2 linked regions of the Bombyx mori genome follow. The protein of the gene in region 1 purifies or fractionates together with the protein of each later gene. This does not show direct contact. Links are inferred from orthologs where the notes say so. Each region holds a gene or a part of one and is shown in the gene's direction. Other genes may lie near its edges.

Region 1 (6,474 bases):
CTAAAGTGAGTATAAATAAACGTATTTATAAATTAAAGAATTAGGCTTTGAATCACGTTGATTTACTGCGATTTTAAGTGATGCAACCTCAGTTTAGCGAATATTTTTTATTTACGTCTTAAACAAAATAAATAAATAAAAACAGATATGTGTGCAATCCATAAGTAGTAGAAGTGAAACCTCCAAAAATTAAAATACAATTATCCTAAATGTCTAAGTACATATATGTAAAATATTGTCATTAGTAAATAACTGTAAATCATCTTTTATAGTATGAGGTAGCGCCCTCTGTAAATTGATGAATAGCATATCGGTGGAATTTATGTAAATCTACTACAGCATACAACATACAATAAAAATCAAAATCTATTTTTTACACAAAAATAAAGTTCAGTCAATTTAGAATGATATTGCATTTGTGCACTATTTGAACGTCATGCGTATCCGCCTTTGGATAGAATCACAATTGGCTCAGAGCACACCGTTACTATTTTCCGTCATTAACTGTCTTGTTATATAAATTTATTCATTGACGTGATAATCATTTAAACTAACCAAAATGTTTATCTGAAAGTTAAATGAATTGGGGTGAATTAAAATGGAATCAACTAGCATGAAACGAGACGAGATGAAATTATGCCCTAGCATGAATTTATTGGTTGGTTGGTTGTTGGTTTCATTTTCTCAGACTTGTGCTTTTGCGCAGATGCTGAACGATTAATAAGCTACCATTAAAACATTTAAACCCGAAGTAGCACTAAATTAACAAGACAAAACAATTCAGACGATTTCGCGCCCACGTTCCCGGCGGAAAGTCCTTTTTGCACAGTTAATAACGTCAGTAATTTCTAATAGATGCAATATGAATTATACGCGGGGTATGTATATAGCTTTGGTATCAATATATATAATATACGAATAGGAAGTGTGAGCCAGCTCAGATGACTGCCGTGCCTATTTCAGCTGCGAAGCAGCAATGAGTTTTGGCCGAGTGGGCCGAGAGCTGGTTCGTATATATTTGTATAGATAATAAAAACAAAAATATTGGTATATGTACCTCTAAACGTAGCATAAAATGTAACTACTATATAAACGTAATTTTTAATTAAGACCGTAACTACTTTATTTTTAAATAGTAGCTTTGCTAAGACTTTAATGATGACCATCATTGTCAAGAAGGTTACAAAAACAAAAATGGTTGGTTTCATGTTGGTTTGGACTACTTTGGACAGACACAAAAATTATTGTAATCTTTTTATTTTATTTATTTTAAAAACTAATAATTACCACAAATGCTTGTGTTAATATTTATAATAGAACTTTCATATTTCAGATGCTTTTATATTAAAACAAGAAGAAAAGTATTTATTTTTCGAAAATTGGTATAAATAACGTCCTATTATTAAAAATATTTAAATCATTTCTTTTATAAATTTTTTCAAAAACTTCAAAAATTTGTTATTTTTGAAAACTGAAATAAAACAATGGATTCGTGAACTTATTTATTAAGTGTATCATTTATGCTCATGGGATATATTTTTTAAACAAATCATGTACAATTAAATTTTCATCATATTTTATTTACAAACGGAGAGTTGGGACTAATTGTATTATTTGGTTTCAAATGTAACTTTTTGGCGGGAACGCGAGGAGTGAAGTCGTCTTATTTGTTTTATTTTGTCTATTTGTATGTAATGTAGTTAATGATGGTTTATTAACTGTTTAATATATTTGAAAGTGAAAAAATGTGTGAAAATGAAACAAAGCCGCTGGACGTAGCTGGAGGAGCTCGGGATCCTCCAAAAAGCCCACTGAAAAAGTCTCAGTAAATTTTATAACCAGCATTTTACTGAGATTATATTTCATCCCATATCATCTCATCTCATTTCATTATATTTCACTGATAATATATCATTTTTCATAAAAATAAGAATATAAATTAAAATAAGACTTGACCTAAAAGTCTTAGTTACCAGGTCATAAGATCCCATAAAAAATATTTAAATGTCAATGTCAAAACCACGCAGCACACAATTGTATAGAGTCTTATACATAATACACATATGTATTAACTATAGAGATAAAGTGCCACCGAAGTGTAATAATTTTGTAGTTGCTGTGTAGAGGAGAACTGTAATTCGGGGTGAATTACTTAAATAATAATAGTAAAGATGACTGACAATGAATCCCAAAATACTGGGGAAGATCAGCCGCAGGAGAAAACTGCCAAACAATTGGAAAAAGAAGCTAAGAAAGCTGCTAAGTTAGAAAAACTCAAAGCCAAGCTGGACAAGAAGAGCGCGGCACCAGCTGTTACGAAAGAAAAGCCAGAGGTATTTATTGTAATTTTATAGAAACAATATATTATATTTAAGTTATAAAATAACCATGAAGAAAGTGTTTTTGATTTAAACAGACAACATAGGTTATAAAGTAACAAATAGGTTATAAAGTGAAAGTGAAAAGAAATTAACTACTAAAATTACATCAGTTCTAACATTTTTCATTAAATTCATTATGGTATTAAACACTATTTTGCTATCCAGTAATATTATAGATAATATTTATTTTTCTTGATTATGGAAAGAATTAACATTTCTGTATTTGTATATAAATTCTGTTAATGAAAAGCCTTAGCCTAGTTAGTCCTATGTTAAGGTTCTATGTTGTGAGACAACAACAAGTAATAACAGTCCTAAACTAGAAAAAATCTTGAAAAAGCTTTTACATGACAAAGAGGACAAAATGACAACATGACAAAAACTGGGAACTGTACTCTAATTCTACCAATGCCCACTGAGTATTTCTCTCTGATCTTCTCAGTGAGTGGCAATTTTGATCGATCTGGTGGTAGATTCTTTGAGGCACTGCTCTTGCTAGAAGAAGTGTTAGCAAATTTCTTAGGTTGAGACAGTGAGCTCACCTACCATCAGGGCGTAGCTGGAATAGCCTCCTAGTCTACCAGCGAACATGTAAAAAAAACCTAACTATGAAGTAATATCTTTTGCCTGAATCTAAATACTGTAAAAAAAATTAAAATTAGAGCTTAAACAAGCTAAATAAACCGTGCTGTATGATATGCAGTAATGTGTTTTGGTTTGAAGGGTGGGGCAGCCGTTGTAACTATACTGAGACCTTAAAACTTATATCTCAAGGTGGGTGGCTCATTTACATTGTAGATGTCTATGAGCTCCAGTAACCACTTAGCACCAGGTGGGCTGTGAGCTCGTTCACCCATCTAAGCAAAAAAATAATAATTGTAAATTAAGTTTAATTTATCAATCCTTGTTTAAGAAAAAAATTAAGGAATCAAAAGAAGCGGCAGTGTACACGGCCAACACAGCGCTTGGTGACATGAAGGACATCAGTGGTGCTATGCCCGATGCCTACAGCCCCCGGTATGTTGAGGCTGCATGGTATGCATGGTGGGAGAAACAGGGTTTCTTTAAGCCAGAGTATGGTGTGAGTAGTTGTAATCTATTTTAATACTAAATTTAGACAAGACAGGAAATTTTAAAATGTCAAATTAATAAAGTTCCTGAAATTTTTGCTCAATGATTAAGTTAAAATTCAAATGAACTTGGTTGTAGTGTGTAAATAGAGAAATATGGTTTTTGTCCTAAAATTTCCTTTTTTTATAATCATTTATTTGGAAATCATGTTTTATACCAGTAAAGGTGTATTTTATTTACATAAGTATAATTTTGGAAGAGTTGAATATTATTAAATTTGTACATAAGATATTATTTATCAGAGACCTCATTTAAAACAATCAAGATTATCTGGAAGGAATTGTTTCGCCCTGACTGCTAATAAGGGAGACAAAAAAAAATGTTTTTTTTTTTCAGAGGAAATCAATATTGGATCCCAATCCGAAGGGTAATTTCGTGATGGTTATACCTCCCCCTAATGTCACTGGAACACTGCATCTTGGACATGCACTGACCAACGCCGTTGAAGATGCACTAACTAGGTGGCATAGGTAATCCATCTTTGTTATATATGTAGTTTGTCAAATTCGCTCATACCCCATTTAATATAAAGTGTCACTCGAGCTCGTAAAGCTTGCATCATAAAAGCAGCACATTGAGAATTGAGGTTGAGGTCTATTATATAGTTTAAGAACTATATAATAGACTATATTGAAGTAGAATGAACGACTACTTCATGACAAAATAGGCAAGACCTTGGTGATGGTGATTTGTGGATTTATCTGACCATCCCATCATTTTTCTTAAATTAGCTTAGACATAAATAATGTTTTTTTTTTCTGAGTATTGTAGTAACTTGATTATTGTATCTCTGTAAAAACATTGTTTTATGCATTAAAAATTCTAGTAAAAATTTTTTTTCGTTTTTGAACAAATTTTTTTAATAATTTTTTTTTATTAAAGCATATTGCTGGGCAAAGAGGTCACATTAAGATTGAGGTGTTCAAAAGTGTAGTAACTCCAATACTAAATATGTTTAGAATGAATGGGCGTACAACACTTTGGAATCCTGGTTGTGACCATGCCGGAATTGCTACACAAGTTGTGGTAGAAAAGAAGCTTTGGAAAGAAGAGAAAAAAACTCGGCATGAACTTGGCAGAGAAGAGTTCATCAAACGAGTTTGGGACTGGAAGAATGAGTGAGTTGTATTGATAAACCCAGTGAGAAGCTGTTGATAAAATTTGATAAAAAAAAATTTTAATCAATGTTACTACATTTATAACACTGTTGTACTAGTGTTGTCCGAAATTGTTCTAATGCTGATTTATTTTCAATGCATTTACATCACCTTTACATTTATTTTTAACCAGACTAAGTTTTGATGGTGTCCGGACAGTAGTTTATAATTAACGTTGTAGTGTATTCATTGCACAATTAACCGGTCATCGTTCTCGTCGAACCCGTCGCTTGCGACGAAGGGCTCGACGAGTAAATTAACCCTCAGACACAACCCACTGAGTTTCTCGCCGGATCTTCTCAGTGGGTCGCGTTTCCGATCCGGTGGTAGATTCTCCGAAGCACCACTCTTGTTAGGGTTCGTGTTAGCAACGTCGTCAGGTTTGAGCCCCGTGAGCTCACCTACTAGTTAAGTTTACGCTGATACAGCCTCTCAAGGCTACCAGCTTAGGTAGGAAAAAAAAGCGCAGTTAAAGTAAATCAAATAATAACAGAAAAGGAGTCCGGATATACGAGCAGCTTCGGTCTCTCGGTTCATCCTACGACTGGTCCAGAGTCCGCTTCACGATGGACCCATCAATGTGCCGAGCTGTTAATGAGGCCTTCATAAGATTGCACGACGCTGGAGACATCTATCGTGCGAACCGATTGGTCAACTGGTCCTGTACGTTGAAGAGCGCTATCTCTGACATAGAAGTAGATAAATTAGAATTGACTGGAAGAACTCTGTTGGCAATACCAGGATATGAACAGAAGGTATGATGGCTTTTTATTATCTTTACTTCATGTAGTTCGATCGCGCTGCTATCTGCTATGAAGCAAAGCCTAAAGAGTAGAATAGATCTTATTATAATATAACTAGCTGTACCCGTCCGCTTCGCTGGGCAATTAAAATTAACGTTATTATTTCTCACCCCCACAAAGATTCTCATCATTAACGGTGTAGAGAGTCCAACATTCGTAGAAATATTAGTCTATCCATTAAGTACATGTATTTTCTACATGGATACCAAGTTTCAAGTCAATCGGATGTACAGTTCAGTGGTTATAACGGAACATCCGTAAAAACCACTGTAGATTTATATATTAGTATAGATTAAGATTTTGATGTCTCGCTCTAAGGTGAATAGTGATATTCAAGGTTGACAAGAACCATAAACGTTTCTTCAGCCAGATTGCTAACAAAAGTTGAACTGTGAGCACCCATGAATACACCTAAATGCGACATTCAGGAAGCCCGAGGATCTGGATATTGCCGGTTTTAAGTCCATGATTTCATGTATGAGAGGCATACTGCCACTGGGCCCCAATATGTCTGGAATCTAATGACAAAGACAATTGTTTGAGGAAAGATGCAAATTGCTAAATTGCTAAATTGCAAAAACTAACATATTTTCAAAAACCTTCCTGTACATAAAACATCATGTTGATAATATTGAAGAAGTTTCTTAAGTCAATATTTAGTAAATATTTTTAGGTCGAGTTCGGAGTACTGGTTCACTTTGCGTACAAAGTTGAAGGCTCGGATGAGGAGGTGATAGTGGCTACCACTAGAGTAGAAACTATGCTTGGGGATGTGGCTGTGGCTGTCCACCCTAACGATGCCAGGTATATACCCTGATCTATATTGTAAGTAAATATTACAAATATTGCATTCTTCATTACTGGTGGTAGGACCACTTGTGAGTCCGCGCGGGTAGGTACCACCGCCCTGCCTATTTCTGCTGTGAAGCAGTAATGCGTTTGGGTTTGAAGGGTGTGGCAGCCGTTGTAACTATACTGAGACCTTAGAACTTGTATCTCAAG
Region 2 (6,563 bases), on another chromosome or scaffold:
TTCGCTTAATGAGGTGCTTAATATTTTCTATTTTCCTATATGGACGATCCATCAAAAGTGTCGTAAAAAGATTGACGCCCCATGAGATGTGTTGCTGGAGATGCTTGCTGAGGATGAAATGGACTGCTCATCGCATTAATGTTTCCATCCTGAAACAGCTCCAAATCAAACAAAGGCTTTCGTCGATTGTGCGTAAGGAATTGCGAATCCTTGATAAGTTTGGACATATCATCCGCAATGAAAGGTCTTTGGATTGATAAATGGTTCAAAGAAGAGTAGACAGTTAATGCTCTCGCGGCCGATCACCCACAAGGTGGACAGACTAGATACTAGATTAAGTCATCTACTAAGTGTTCCCTTATTGAATGTAAACGTACCGCCACATATAGAGAGAGATGGAGAAGCTTCGAAAAAGCCGTAACAAGGCAATAAAACATTCATAAACACGACCACTCCGCCAGAAGTGTACGACTGAGAAGAAGAATCTTAAGACAGTATCAGAACGCTACTTCGACAGAGCGACACGACACATTATCCTTATTATCGTGGCCGCCGCGCATTACATATCCGACTTAGGCGATGGGGCAACACAAGGTCGCCATTGTCCCAAACATTTCTTGTCAGATCCCTCAGAAGCACTCTCGGTTGTTTTAAGCCCCTCAAGCACCCTTACCATCTTCGTTGAACTGACTTAGAAATCCGGGCGTAGCTGGAATAGATCCTTAGATCGTTGAGGCGGTGCGCCAGGTTCTCCTGGACTGGGTGAACCGCGACTGAGATCGTCTCACTTTTCGGTTCATGGACGTGTTCACTGGCCATGGGTGTTTCGGACGGTACCTATGCCACGTTGCCCGAAGGGAACTAACAATGATGTTCCACTTCACAGAATTATGGCTGCGACCAGGATACGGGGGAGGATGCGCCCGAGTACTGCCCCCCGTGGCTGGGTCAGCGCGTGTCCTCGTAGCACAAATAGGACTGACATCGGCAGCGAATGCCGATTGTCAAGGCTACGATGCTCGGTACTACTCGGTAGCGACAAGTCCTGGAAGGCGATGCTCGACTTCTGTGTGTCCACCATTTTATAGAAGCAGGCGGTGGAACGAGAGAGACATAGCTCATCCTTCTCCGCACCGACCCGTTGTCGCCAAGCTGGGGACAGGGAAGAGCTTTCGCTGGACATTAGTCCCCGGTCGTCTCCGGGGCGTGTAAGGAGGCAGTTTCCTCTCGGTAATGATCAGAAGCTGAGATGAGAGGGTTGACGCTACGCCACGTGCTACCGTCAGCCTAGTGCTAGGAGGAAGGGTCTAAGGACGGTGAAAGCGAACGCGTTGCAATCAGGAAGATAAATGACCTGGCAGTCTGGTTCTGACCCAGCAGGATATCTCGAAAGTCCAGCAAGCGCGCCAACTATCCGTGGATGCCAGCGTTCTTAGTTGTCGACGATTGCCTCGTTGACCCGTCAAGTCTAGTTGTAGTGTTAACTGCGAGAACCCCCTACTCCGCCCGGGTTCTGATCTCGGTTGTCAGGTTAAGAGTGCGACGGTAGGCGTTTGGTGGGTGGCCGTAAAATTATCTTTGGGCCTGCGGTCTGCTTCTAACATCTGCAGACCGTCAAGACCTACATACCCCGCATAACCTCTAGATGAAAAAATGTCGCAAGCGGTTTGGTCATTGTTCCAAAAAGAAAAAAGCTTATCGTTTTGATATGGAGGAAAGAAATGAGATAAAATGAGATGAAGTTAGTTTATTTGAGATTTCAATTAATTCGGATGAAATTAAGTGAAGCTAGATAAGATGAGGTGAAACAAAGTCTCAGTAAAATGGTGGTTGCTTAGTGAGACTTTTTAGAGGACTTTTTGAAATAGCTCGAGATGCTAACTATGTCTATCTTTTTATATATTTTTCTACATTTGGGAACTTTCACAGGTGTAAAACAAAAAATAAGCCATCACTATTACACATTTAAAGCTGAAGAAACACTGAATTAAGAAAATAAATCAAATCACAAAACTTTCCCTCCTCGCGTTTCCGCCAAATGTATTTATATATTCTTTCATAATGTATATTCGTATATTTATGGTTGTAGTATTAAGTGTTTAGTAAGAGAAGGACATATGTTGGACGGTTATATTTTGAAGGGATTGGGTTCTTTAGGTGATGAGGGGCTATTTAAAAACACAACTGCTTCATTATAATTATATTGCAGATTGCTTAAACACTTTTACACCATTATACAATTATTATCTTTATATATTTTATAAAACTATTACATGTTTTTCATGCTGTGTCGAGATGAGAAGTCCTACTGACATTTTCTTACGAGAATACAATGATCTGTTTTTTAAAACATTTAAAATAATTCCAATATTCGAAATCTAATCAAGTGTCAAGTGTTGCCTGCCATTACATTTAATATACAAACTCCAACAACATAGATCCAAACTACCACTTTTTTGTTTCTATCGACTTCTTTTGTGTCTTCTTTCACTTATCTAATGATATAACACAAACACAACTTGTTTTGTCCATTCTTATTACATTTAATGTAAATCTGTGCTATTAAGACTTGTGTCACTCGTGATTGCTTCTCAAATCGTCTTTCATTTCTTGACTGGAAAACATTAACTCCAATACAAAAAAATGATAAGTTCGTTTTGCGGAACGAGATTCGGACAACAATTTCAGTAATGCGAATGATTTTTATGTTTGTACAGAAATGGCTTAATTTTTTTTTTATAAAAGAGATGAATATCCGTTCTATGATCCTTTTGCCTCTCATTAAAAGAAACTATAGAACTTTCCTCCATAGACGAAACTAACAACACTGGACCACTCACTGGACACATTTCAATTTTTAGCACTTGTCAATTGTTTTTGGTTGTCTTTGTCTTTTTAGTTTCCGTCATCATTTGAATGGCTGTTAGGTTTGCTCTATTAACTTTATTTACGTAAAAATTCAATTTAATTGTATGAACCAACGTTTTTATTGTATTTAAATACAATTCAAATCTAAATTTTGGAATAATCAGGTTGGTAAATATTTAAAATTATTAGATGACAAGAAACACGTAGGTAGGTAGTTTAGAGATAACCTAGCTTAGGTTTGAAACTTTTGCTACCGCCTTTATTTTCGCTCAATTTTTTACATAATATGGTGATTAATTAATCCACAATTAAATATCGTTTCACGTTCATCGAATAATTTTTCATCATCAATTTATACTTAAAAATGCTTAAATGAGTACTAAGTAGTTTCATTTTAATATTTTAGCATGGCTGCTTTATTACACGAGAAGGTTTGGTTAGACCGGAATGTTTACAATGATGCTGAAAAAGCTTATTATGAATCTTTGTCGAAGGTAAGTTTTTAATAAAAAAAATTATTCATACATTTTTTCATCTGAGTAATTCTATAAATTATACTTTAAAGAATGGAGTTTGTCGATAGTTAACGTAATTCAATGATGATTTTGTAGGTCCAAGCACCATTATCGTTAGCTCGATCATCATTGGCCAGTGAAGTCGCAAAGGCTAGACAGCATATTAAAAATTCTTTAGAATGTGTGAGTAGATGTTGTTTTATTATATTTCACACATTGCTTCACACAAATCTATTAGATTTGTCACAGTATTTATTTGTCAAATATCTGTGTGTAAGGTTATTGTTTCAATAAGCAAAGACAAAGTTTTAATTTCTCATTTTTTATGTTATAACAAATAAAAATCAGCTTATATGCAGGGTACTCTGTGACACAGAGAACATGTCCACTAGCTGCTTTTGCTTTAGATTTCAGGTTTATCAAATATGAGTATATTAGTGACAAGTAACTCTAACGTCATTAGAAAGCTAATATAGTTTTCTGCTTGTGTTAAAATAATCCGTTCAATCCACTTTGTATTTGAGAATGGCTAGATTACATTTTGCATAAGATCTACATTGAACTAATAAAATAAAGTGAAATTGAAATAAGTAAAACAATAAAATTTTGGCTCAGTTCATTTCATATAAAATAAAGGCAATAGAGGTCATTTTCAGTAGCAATTTTTGGCTTGGCTTTTTTGTGCTATGAAATATTAGAGAATCATTCTTGTTTATTTTACTGTAGAAAATTAGTATTGTAAATTAGTATACAACATTTATTTAAATTTATTGTCTTATTTCAATATGCCTATATAAACATGCTAATTAATTAATAGATTTTCATGTCGAGTAGTGCAATAGAGAGTATAGTATTCACTTTTTTTTTCAGATGGATAGTGTAGCAACTTTGGCGGGTGTTCCTAATACAGAGCTCAGTACTAAAGTCATCAGCTTAGAAAACGAAAACAAGGATTTGAAAAAGGCTATAGATGATTTACGTAATTTAGTCATCAGCCTGCAAGTCCGTGTTGAAACCTTGGAATCATCCAGCAGTATCACCTCTGATTGTATTCAAGTAAGCATTGAATTTATAAGGGGAAAGTAATAATAGATTTGGGACATTAGTATTACATATTTTTTTATTGCTTAGATAGGTGGACGAGCTCACAGCCCACCTGGTGTTAAGTGGTTACTGGAGCCCATAGACATCCACAACGTAAATGCGCCACCTACCTTGAGATATGGTTTCATATAGTTACAACAGTCGCCCCACCCTTCAAACCGAAACGCATTACTGTTTCACGGCAGAAATAGGCAGTTTGGTGGTACCTTCTGTACTGCATCTGCGTACTGGAAAGTCTCTTTGAAGCTAACATTGAAAGCTACTGCAACTTAGCAGTTGATTGAATATTTTCAACTTCCACTATCACCTTTAACGCGTTGTTGCTTACTTTAGTTTTCAGCGACCACAGGGTTGATTTTTTAGATTAAAATTTCCATATCAGAAGCATTCAAACTTAAAACGAGTTTTACGTTCGTTTGTGGTGTGCCCTCTGTACACGTCATTAATGCTGTGAGCTGTATGTGCGGCGTTCTTACTGTGACAGATTTCTTATACTCGAATTTTATCATGTAGATATTGATGATGATTGACTAACAATAAATAAATGACTGAATTTGAAAATATAATTCAATATTATTTATATAAATTTATTTGAGCTTAGAATTTATTACCAGCATACTTAAATTACGTTACAAATTGCCAGTGTTGTGAAATGGCAACTTCATGGATTTTCATTGTATGATAAGCTGACATGAAATATATACCCTGTATATTCTGTAAATAGGGTGATCTTTTTTCAAGATTTGGAAGACAATGGGAAAGATTATATGCCAAAACATATGTGTTGCCAAACCATTAATTCCAAAGTTAAGTCTTAAAGTTAATTCCACTGTAGAGCTTCCAGAGTCTTATCAGCAAAATTGGCAATTTCAGGCATTTATTGTCTCTTCTTAAATTTAAAATGCAATAATTTTAAATGTACAAAATACCTATTGTATTACTAAATATATTTATCATTTACCTTTCAGTCAGAAAAACCTGCAGCAGCTTCTACTGATAAGGATGACGAAGATGATGATGTTGATTTGTTTGGTTCAGATGATGAAGAGGAGAGTGCTGAAGCAGCTAAGATAAAGGAAGAGCGTCTTGCTGCATATAATGCAAAGAAAGCTAAAAGTAGGCTATAAACATAATTCTTGCTCCTCTGTGCATCTACTGTGCTGATCTGTTTCTAAAGTGACAGATTGGATACTGCTGTGCCCTGAGCTCAGTCACTTTGTAGGCATAACATTCTACACTTTCTGGGGTGTGGTCTGCATTCCAAAACTATTACATACATAATATTTAACATACATACTTATTACATTCATAATACAATGCTTGGATAAGAAAGATTGTCATTCAGGTTTTCAGGCCAAGTACCATAACATACAATATCCCTTCAAGTTTCCAGTGCTTGTTGGCTACTTAAGCTTTTCTATGAATTTCATCATTCTTGATTACGATAGTAACATGTAAATCATATTTATGACCTTTAAAATTGCCATTTTGCTGATATTAAGAATTTCTAAAAAATAATTAGACCATATTATGATAAATAGTATAAAAGTATAGTATTAATAACCAATCCAAAAATAATTATTTCACAGAGCCAGTGCTAATTGCAAAGTCGAATATTATTCTGGATGTAAAGCCATGGGATGATGAGACTGATATGGCAGCCTTGGAACAAGCTGTAAGGTCAATCAGCACTGATGGCCTCTTGTGGGGTGCCGCTAAACTAGTGCCTTTGGCTTATGGTATCCATAAGCTGCAAATTTCCTGTGTTGTTGAAGATGATAAGGTTTCTATTGATTGGCTTACTGAGGAAATCGAGAAAAATGAAGACTATGTAAGTGTTCAGTGTACTATAGAAAAAATGGTAATAATAAGTATATGGCAGCTAATATCAAATATTGATGCTTAAGTATTCACTGTAGTGCCTGTTATGAACTTGTATAGGACAAGAAAGCCCTTATATTAATGCAGTTGTAACTGTCAACATGCTAAAATGAGGGAGGGGCTTTCTTTATGAGCTCCAGTAATTTCTCAATGTGTGGTCTATAAGATTGTTTGCCGTTTTATTGAATTAAAAAG

The links. Proteins that work in one complex are often made in the same cells at the same time.
Region 2: the proteins of valine--tRNA ligase (region 1) and Ef-1d purify together in Homo sapiens (affinity purification with mass spectrometry; 5 studies listed by BioGRID and IntAct, counting the BioPlex papers as one, with this or other methods). This does not show direct contact. The link is inferred for Bombyx mori from reciprocal best matches to the Homo sapiens genes VARS1 and EEF1D.

What each region holds. Positions count from the first base shown.
Region 1 is NC_085114.1:14,516,073-14,522,546, reverse strand, and holds the start of valine--tRNA ligase, read left to right. Parts: upstream 1-2,026; 5' UTR 2,027-2,171; coding exon 2,172-2,333; intron 2,334-3,294; coding exon 3,295-3,462; intron 3,463-3,848; coding exon 3,849-3,982; intron 3,983-4,471; coding exon 4,472-4,630; intron 4,631-5,162; coding exon 5,163-5,424; intron 5,425-6,145; coding exon 6,146-6,276; intron 6,277-6,474. UniProt on the Homo sapiens protein: Catalyzes the attachment of valine to tRNA(Val).
Region 2 is NC_085111.1:9,757,732-9,764,294, forward strand, and holds the start of Ef-1d (elongation factor 1 delta), read left to right. Parts: upstream 1-2,972; 5' UTR 2,973-3,032; intron 3,033-3,274; 5' UTR 3,275-3,275; coding exon 3,276-3,362; intron 3,363-3,479; coding exon 3,480-3,566; intron 3,567-4,253; coding exon 4,254-4,439; intron 4,440-5,455; coding exon 5,456-5,603; intron 5,604-6,076; coding exon 6,077-6,318; coding exon of another isoform or gene 6,319-6,393; exon of another isoform or gene 6,394-6,563.